2 linked regions of the Canis lupus familiaris genome follow. The protein of the gene in region 1 interacts with the protein of each later gene in a pairwise test. Links are inferred from orthologs where the notes say so. Each region holds a gene or a part of one and is shown in the gene's direction. Other genes may lie near its edges. The genes, in order: ALDOA and ENO3.

Region 1 (4,316 bases):
CAGGTGCACCTGCAAATTACCATTTTCAAACACAATTGAGATTTTTCAGAATCATTCATGAATACAGGGCATGCCTTGCAAGGAGTAGGTACTCAGAAATGATGGAGATCCTGCAGTTGAGTCTTAGGCCAAGGAAGAAAGCCACAGAACCAGGTTCTTTTCATCATGGATGGAAAATGTGTGTGCACTCCCCCTTGTCTCCTGACTTGGAACTGAATGGGGCCACAAGGATATAGTAGAATCATCTTTGAACTGAACATTGGGACCTAATGGAACAGGGCTACTTGATCTTTTAGTCCCCTTGCCTATAAAATGGGAAGGGAGGGCAGCCCTGGTGGTGCAGCGGTTTAGCGCCACCTGCAGCCGGGGGTGTGATCCTGGAGACCCAGGATCGAGTCCCACATCGGGCTTCCTGCATGGAGCCTGCTTCACCCTCTGCCTGTGTCTCTGCTTCTCTCTTCTCTCTCTCTGAACGAATAAAGAAATAAAAAATAAATAAATAAATAAAATAAAATGGGAAGGGAAGAACCCCTTGGATAATTTCTTCCAGCTCCTGCACTCAGCTGTTTGGAACACTGCTTCCTTGCTGAGTTCTCAACAGCACAGGGAATTGATTTGTTCCCAGGACTGGTAGATGGTACCCTTTGTTCCACTGGGCAAATGGGGCTTTCCAGGCCTCTCTGTTGCCTTCTCCCTTGAGAGGGAAACAGCTTCGGGGACTAGGACTCTGGCCCACCTCCTTCACCCCCTTCTCCTTTCCCTCAGGGCTGGGGCCCTCGCTGCCCTCGCTGCTGCCCACTCTGTGACTGTGCTTGTGCGTGCCAACTTCCTGACTGCCAGAGCCTCAACTGTCTCTGCTTCGAGATCAAGCTCCGATGAAGATCCAGACTTCTTGCCCCTTGGAGAGTGGCCAGCCCCCGGGGCCACCAAGCCCCCATCCCTGATGAGCCTCCAGGCACTTTTCTCCAGGCCACTGGAACCACAGATGGCCTGCTCAGCTCCTCCCCCTGGGAACCAGCAGTGGAGAGCCTGGCTCCCTGCAGAGCAGGACTCAGGGAGCCCTTGGCCAGTTGGACCGAAGCCCCTTTGGAGGGCCAGGAGAGAGAGGGGCTAGTGCTCTGACACGAGCCTCTGCCTGCCTCTCCCCTCCCCACATAAACTATTATAATTGAACATGAGGGTGGGAGACACTGCTCACCACTGACCACCTTATGGGACAAACTTCAGCCCTGAGTTTCAGGATATAGGGTACCCCAGCCACACCTTATCCATGGACTCTTGGTTGTTTTGAGGTGAGTGTAGCATCTGTATCTGCTCTCCCACCAAAAGAATGGTCTCTCCAGAATCACAGGGCCTAGAGGGGAGGGAGGTCTGAGAAGACAGGGAGGCCCACAGATCTGAATCTCCTTTCCTCTTCTTCCCTCCCCACAGATCCCTGTGCAAAGATTGATTTCTTTTGCCAACTTCTGAGGGCTGGATTTCCAAGGAAATTCTTCTGAAGTACGGTGAGTGGACAGGGCTCCCCATGCCCCCCAAGTAGGGCAGGCCCACGGTTTTCTCCCCCTTCCCTCACTTTAGGCCCCATGCTGGCATGAATGTCAGGGGCTTCAGGTTTCCCTAAATATAGGTCCCTGCCAGGGGATCCGTGGCAAGGAAAGGGCAGGGGTCACCGGAGGAGGTTGGGGACATTGGCTGGGGGGAGGGCAGGAGCTGCCTTATAACCCAGCCCGGGAGCAGCCTGGCTCACTCGCTGCTGACCAGGCTCTGCCCTCTCCTTCAGCCTCCTCGCAGGTGGGCGCCAGCGGGACGCAGCAGGGGTGGGGTGGGGTGGGGTGGGGCCTAAGGGGCCCAGAGTAGGAGGGAGGCCTGGCCCCTCGGACGAGGGGCTCGCGGTGTTGCTGGGGCTGACCCCTAGGGGCAGATTGGATTCGGAGGGGGAAGCCAGGTCCCAGGGAGACGTTTCCGCGAGGACTCTGGCGCCGCACTCCCAGACTCGCCGGGGCGAGCGGGCGCCGCTGCAGGCCGGTCCGCGCTGGCCCCGGGCGGAGAGCGCGTGCGCAGCGGTGCGGGGCCGGCCCCGGGGCCCCGAGCCCGACGGGCGCGGCTGCGGCGCCCACACCCGCGCGGGCCGGCTGCCCGGAACCGCTGCCGCCCGGCCTCCGCCCTCCGCCCTCCGGCCTCCGCCCGCCCCGCCGCCCTCTCGCGCTCCTCCCCGTGCGGCCGCTCTTCCGCCTGGACTGGTGACCCCGGGAGGGCGGCCCCACGCCCCGGAGCCCCTGAACCGGCTAGCGGAGCCCGCGGGCGAGGTCGGCCGACGCCCGGCCTCCGGGTTCTGCCCCAGCGGGTCACTCGCGGGAGTCCCGCGGGCCGGAAGCCGGGCTGCCCCGGGCCGCGCCGGGCGGGGGAGGCTCTCGCACCCGCTTTCCCCCTCCCCACCTCCTCCGGTGCCCCAAATGGGCTGAGTCACGGCGCCCCAGAACGTGCCAACTGGGGGGGGGGAAGGGAGAGGGAGGGGAGGGCCCCGGCGACCCGCAGGATGTGGCCCGAGTCACGTCTTAGGGGGCCGGGGGAGGGATCGTGTTCTCGCCGCGCTGTCCCCGCCCAAGCGCCGCCTCCGGGCTTCGCCGTTCGGGGGCGGCCTCTGCACTGTTCCTCGCCTGCAATTGGACGCCAGGGCGCCTCCGGCCCCCTTCAAGGGAAAAAAACCCGGCGGAGGCTGGCGCGGCGCCTTTATAAGGCCCGGCGCCGCCTCCCTCCTCCCCGCCCCCTGCGCCGCCCCCTCGGAGCTGAATAGGCTGCGTTCCTCCTGGAACGCGCCGCAGAACCGGGGTCCTGGTGACGACGGCCGCGTTCGCTCCCTCAGCCCGCTCGCCCGCCCGCCGCCCTCCACCGCCGCGCCCCGCAAGCCCGCCCCCTCCCGTGCCAGGTGAGCGCCCCTTGCCACGTGCGAAGGTCAGGGACCATGGAGAAGGATCCTGGGGGACCGTCGGGGAGGGCAATCGGAAGCCCTCCCCGCCCCCACCCCCCATTCCCAGCATCTCCCACGCCCCACCACCACCCACATGCTCCAGTCCCGGCTCCGCAACCCTCTCCGGCTTGGGTTCCCCGGGTTTGCGGCGCAGTGCCGCGGCTCCGCGCGCTGAGTCATGGCGGGGGAGGAAGCAGGACGAGATGAAGGGCCGTTCTTCCTCTCCTCTTCTTGCTGAGACCCCAGGTGCAAAGCGTTATGACCCCTTTGCCTCTGCGGGGATCCTAAGAGGCCGCGAGGGGTGGGGGCCAGTTCTTATAGTGCTTTAGGGTTTCCGAAAGCGTGGTTGGTCTCTGCCCTGGGAGGTGGGCGACCCCGGCGAGGAGGGGGAAACCCCTAGGAGGCGCCTGATGACCCGTTAACACTTTCCGTGTCTTTCCTTATCGGGTGACCTTGATTGGGAGCCTGGAGCAGCTGCAGCCGTGCGAAAAGACGAGAGCATTTTCAGGGGAAGGGGTGGGGCTCTTGCCTCTCTACAATTCTCTTAACCCTGTATGAGCAGTGAGATCGGCAAACCTTACCCCTTTCCGCCACCTCCGGCTGGGCTTCCTCTGCTTACCTTTCCTGGGCTTCTGATTACATTTCTGCCCCTTTTTCTAACACCCTTTTCCTAACACCCTCCCTCAAACCTGGGGGGAGAAACTTGACCTTGGGATGTCCTTGAGGCCTTCAAGCCTGGGCCAGCCCTGGGATCTTGGGTGGGTTGAAAGGCCCTGGTGGTCAGAAGATCTGGGTTCTAATCTCAGCTCTGGCCCTTCTGCTGTGGGACTCAAAGCACAGAACTTTCCCTCATTTCAGTCCTTGGGTTGGGCCCTCTGCCTGCCTACCACCTCTAAATTCTAAACTACTCTGGTTCAGTTCTGCTTCTAGGCAAGGTGACCCCATGGCAGAGCGCAAGCCAGAAGGGTCCATCTTCTACATGACCTGTCTGTCCATGGCTCTGGCCTATTGCGTTTCCCCAGATGACAGTACGCTACCCCACCCTCAGCTGGGAAACACCCAGCAACAAACAGAGTTAGGAAAGGTACAGGAGGCAGGCCTAGTATAAGGAAGTTGGGAGTAGGGGAGGGCTGGGGACAGAATGTGCCCCAAGACATACCAGTATGGAGCAGGGGAGGTAAGGAACCTTTGTCCGGACCACCAGGCAAGGGGCCCTGCTTGTTGGGAGACCATGGTGAGACCCAGCTAACCAGTTCTCCCCCTTTCTGTATCCTTTGCGTAGGAACTGACCGGCAACATGCCCTACCAATACCCAGCGCTGACCCCGGAGCAGAAGAAGGAGCTTTCT
Region 2 (4,337 bases), on another chromosome or scaffold:
GCGCGGGGCCGGCGGGGGGTGCGGGGCGCTCAGGGTTAAATGGAACGGCTGCCCCTCCCCCACCCCTGCCGGAGGGCAGGAGCGGCGGCGGCGGCGCGTGCGTCCGCGCCTGCGCCGGGCCGGGCAGGAGGGCGGGAGGGCGCGGGGCGGTTGGGGCCGGCGGCCCGCGGCGCGGGAGCGGGGTGCGCGCGGCGGCACCCCACCCCCCAGAGGCGGGCGGGCCGGGGACGTGTCTCCCGCGGGGCGGAAGGGGCGGGCACGCGGCTCGCTCTCTATTTTATTCAGTCACGACTTGCGGGAGCCCCGGGTCGCGAGGACAGATGGGCCCGGCCGCCCTCAAGAGTCCAAGGCGTCCACCGGGAAGGGGGGGCACGAGTGTCTCCAGTATCTGCCCGACAGACACGTGCAGGAGCAGCCCCCCCCCCAGGCAGGCCCAAGCCCCACGTCCCCGCCCCCCGCTGCCAGCACTTTGGGTCACCGGCCGTGCCCCTTGGCCCGGCGCGGCCGAGGTCACTGGGCGCGGGAGGCAGGGGCGGGACTACTTCTCGGGGCGGAAGGACACGGGGAGGTGGCCAGATTTGCAACTTTTCCAAGAGGGGGAAAGTCCCCTCCCGCTCGGGCCCCTCGGGCTCTTTCTTCTTCTTTTCGGGGAAACTTGTGCTGGGAAGCTTTGCGCGCGGCTCTCGCCGGGCGCCCCGCGGGCAAGGGAGGGAAGGGCAGGGCCCCGCGGCCGCCCAGGTGGGGCTGCCGAGGGTCTGGGCCGCTTCCGGGCCCCCACGCCCCCCGAGCCCGTTCCTCGACAGCCGCGCCGCTGAGTCACCCGGCCGCTCGGGCGGGGCGCGCTCGGGCACGTGGCGGCGCTCCCCGCCCGCTGGCTGCTGACCTCTGCCCGCCGCACCCCCGACCCCGGGGTGGAAAAGTCCGGGAGGGCGCGGCCGGAGCCGGCGGGCGTGGAGGGTCAGGGCCGGAGCCCCGAGGTGCCCACGCTCCCCGGGCCGGGGCGCACCCCGCGCCGCCCCCAGACCCGACGCTCAGACCGCAGGGGCCACCCCCTCCGGTCCGGTCCCGTCCCGCCCCGCCATTCATTCTGAGCCCTGGTCTAGGAGCACCGTCCACGGGTAGGGCCGGGGTCGCCAAATCCCCGGCTCGGCTGGGAGAGGGGCTCCCGACCGCCGCTCCATGAGCGGGGCGACAAGTGCTGTCCCAGCGCCCCGGGCAGGGCGCCGCGCCGAGGCTGAGCGCCCGTCTAAATCGGGCTCCCCGCCCCCTCCCCCACCCCCTGCTGGCCCGGGGCGCTGGGGAGAGCGGGCGGCCCGAGAGGCCATCATGAGGACCCTGAGAGGTGAGACCCTCTCGCCTCCCTGCATGGGGAATTCGAGGTGGACCTCAGCGCTTGCCCAGACACACACACCGCCCCCCTCCCCCGCCCTCCTCCTCCTGGGGGCGCCTGCCCAGGGAGCCAAGCATGTATGGACATCAATCCTGCAGCCCCTCTTCCAGGCCCCCTCCCCAGCCCTGCCCGGCTCGGGTTACCGCTGGCCTTTGCTAAAGGGCACAAGTTCCTCTTTAACCTTTGCAAAGGGGGCGTATAATCCTGGCCAGGGGAGAGACCCCCAATCCGAAGGCCCTCCCAGGCCCCTCCCCAGAGCTGGAATTGAATGTGGGGGCTTTTATTGGGGAGCAGAGAGGAAGGAGGGGTCGTCATTGACCTTTGGGAAGGGGGCAGGTGTCGGGGCCAAAGGCTCCCGCTTTAGGCTGCAGTGGGCACTTGGCTGCCAGCCCAGTGTGGAGGGGGAGGATGGAGAGGGAGAGGCGGGGCTGGCCAGGGCGTCGGGTGGCTAGGAGATAAATGCCCGGCCTGAGGGGGTGAGCTGACACTGTCCCAGCTGCCACCTAGGCTCAGAGCTCACCTCGACTCCCCCCAGCGGAGACATCCCAGGTCTGCTGAGTTCTCCAGTCCCAGAGGATGGGGTGGTGAAGGGTGAGGGTGGGTGCTGGTTTGGACAAAGTTGGGAGAGGTGTCAGCTTTTTCTACCTTCCAGGACCAGGGTGCTTGAGAGACTTGGAAGGGTGGGAGCGAGCAGCATGGGGGTACCCAGGACAGGGAAGGAGACTGTAAGACCATGAGGAGCCATAGGCAGAGGTGGGTGGAGGAGGGGAGGGAGTTGGGGCCAGGTGGGGGATTTGGGGTCCCCGTGGATTTGGAGGAAGATGACAACCAGAAGAGAGAAGAGGGTCTGGGGCTGGCAAGCTACGGAGAGCCGAGTGCTCCACTGGAAGGGAGGAGGCCTAAGTGCACTCTGTGGGTGATGGGGGTCCAGGGAGACCTGTGGGGACCAGTTAGGGGAGAGGCTGCGGACCCTGAGGATGGAGGTGGAACTGGAGCTGCTGTGAGTGGGGGAGGGGGCTGCGCCTGCCTCTTTGGGCTGTGACCTTTTTGTGGGATATTTTTAGCTCCAGCACCTGCCTTCTTGGGGTGGGGAAGACTCTTAAAGGGCAAGGGATTTCGGGTTCCTTGAGGGATCAACTATCCACACTCAGTCACACCTCTCCTCCTGCAGCCATGGCCATGCAGAAAATCTTCGCCCGGGAGATCCTGGACTCCAGGGGCAACCCCACGGTAGAAGTGGACCTGCACACGGCCAAGGGTACCATGGCTCCCAGCATTGCTCTGCCCTGCGAAACCCCAGCCCACAGGCCCCATGCCCTCTCCTTTCTCTGGGGTCCCCTTCGCCAGAGTCCTCCCCAGGCCTTGCTCCTCAGGCCTGGCTCCTGGGCCAGGACAAGGAGACCCCCTGCCCCTGGGCGCAGAGAGCCCACCTCGGCCTGTGGGGCTACCGGGGGCCCTGGGTGACGTTCCTGTTCTACCCGCCCAGGCCGATTTCGAGCAGCTGTGCCCAGCGGAGCCTCCACTGGTATCTACGAAGCCCTGGAACTGAGAGATGGAGACAAGTCCCGCTACCTAGGGAAAGGTGAGGGAGGACCACCGCCGGAGGAGCCTATGCACATGGGTGGCGTCGGGATCTGTGTTCCCAGCCAGAGCCCTCAAGGAGCAGGGGCCCCGGGAAGATGCCTGATGGACTCCGATTTCTGACCGCCAACCCCCCGCCCCCCGCCCCTCTAGGTGTCCTCAAGGCTGTGGAACACATCAACAAGACCCTAGGCCCTGCTCTGCTGGAAAAGGCAAGAGGGAGCCTGCCTCCCTGCCCTGCAGCCCTGCTGCCCAGCCATCCCGTCCCCCCACCAGGCACCTGTGCCTCCTCTGGCACATGCCCTGAGTCCTGAGCAACGTGACCTCTGCTCTTCCCTCCCCCTCCAACCTCTCTTTCCAGAAACTCAGCGTGGTGGATCAAGAGAAAGTTGACAAATTCATGATTGAGCTGGATGGGACAGAGAATAAGTGTGAGTTGGGGCTGGGGCGGGGGGGAAGGGATGGGCCGTGGCAGGGGTGGGAGTGACCCCGGGATTATTTCCCTGGCCCGCGCTTTGGGGCACACGGTGGCTGGCTGGGTTTTTTATTCATTGCACAGGCATTTCCTGGTGCCTGCTGTCCAGGCCTGGCTGTGGCCACAGATGCGAAGCTGGCACCTTCCCCGGGCTGGGGGCTCCCAGAGCCCCTCTGGCTGCTGGGGAGAGACCCGTCAGCGCCCCCCTCATGCTCAGGGCAGTGGTGTTCCGGGTCCTCTGTGGGGTGACCCCAGGCCCTGGGGGAGAAGCCCTCACCCTTTCTCTGTGCTTGTGTCCCCTAGCCAAGTTCGGGGCAAATGCCATCTTGGGTGTGTCCCTGGCTGTGTGCAAGGCTGGAGCGGCAGAGAAAGGGGTCCCACTCTACCGGCACATCGCGGACCTCGCCGGGAACCCTGACTTAGTCCTGCCCGTCCCTGTGAGTGCCCCTCCTGGGAGCCAGTGGAGCAACCCCAGGAAGGTCTACACTTCAGACCCAGCTCCAAAAACAGGGTTTCTTGAGATGGAACCTCTCCTGCAGTTCTGGCCCCTCCCTCCTTCCCACAATCCGAGCTCCCCTTGACATAAGCCCGGCCCATCACATTCCAGGGCCAGACTCAGGCATCACCGAGTTGCTGGTCCTGCCTGGGCCCCAGCTCCTGAGTCAGGTTGGGCACTGCTTTGTGCCGGGGGCTGGGCACGTCTTTAGTGTCCTCTTCGGTCCTTGCCCAACCCGGGCCTTGTTCATGGAGACCCTTGGACTCTTCGGTCAGCTGTCACGTTAGTGCATATCTCCTGACTGGGTGGGTGGGATGAGAGCAGGGGCTCTGGAGAGTGGCTGGCCCTGCGTGTTTGCTCCTGTCCAACCTCAGGGGACTACATAACTGCCCTGT

What was found.
Region 2: the proteins of ALDOA (region 1) and ENO3 interact in a two-hybrid assay, tested with the Homo sapiens proteins (2 studies listed by BioGRID and IntAct, with this or other methods). The link is inferred for Canis lupus familiaris from reciprocal best matches to the Homo sapiens genes ALDOA and ENO3.

What each region holds. Positions count from the first base shown.
Region 1 is NC_049227.1:18,241,704-18,246,019, forward strand, and holds the start of ALDOA (fructose-bisphosphate aldolase A), read left to right. Parts: upstream 1-1,481; 5' UTR 1,482-1,505; exon of another isoform or gene 1,506-1,506; intron 1,507-1,634; exon of another isoform or gene 1,635-1,791; intron 1,792-2,775; exon of another isoform or gene 2,776-2,926; intron 2,927-4,250; 5' UTR 4,251-4,265; coding exon 4,266-4,316. UniProt on the Homo sapiens protein: Catalyzes the reversible conversion of beta-D-fructose 1,6-bisphosphate (FBP) into two triose phosphate and plays a key role in glycolysis and gluconeogenesis. In addition, may also function as scaffolding protein.
Region 2 is NC_049226.1:31,870,703-31,875,039, reverse strand, and holds the start of ENO3 (beta-enolase), read left to right. Parts: upstream 1-1,274; 5' UTR 1,275-1,326; coding exon 1,327-1,342; intron 1,343-1,791; exon of another isoform or gene 1,792-1,939; intron 1,940-2,042; exon of another isoform or gene 2,043-2,143; intron 2,144-2,561; coding exon 2,562-2,648; intron 2,649-2,876; coding exon 2,877-2,972; intron 2,973-3,124; coding exon 3,125-3,183; intron 3,184-3,332; coding exon 3,333-3,402; intron 3,403-3,749; coding exon 3,750-3,883; intron 3,884-4,337. UniProt on the Homo sapiens protein: Glycolytic enzyme that catalyzes the conversion of 2-phosphoglycerate to phosphoenolpyruvate. Appears to have a function in striated muscle development and regeneration.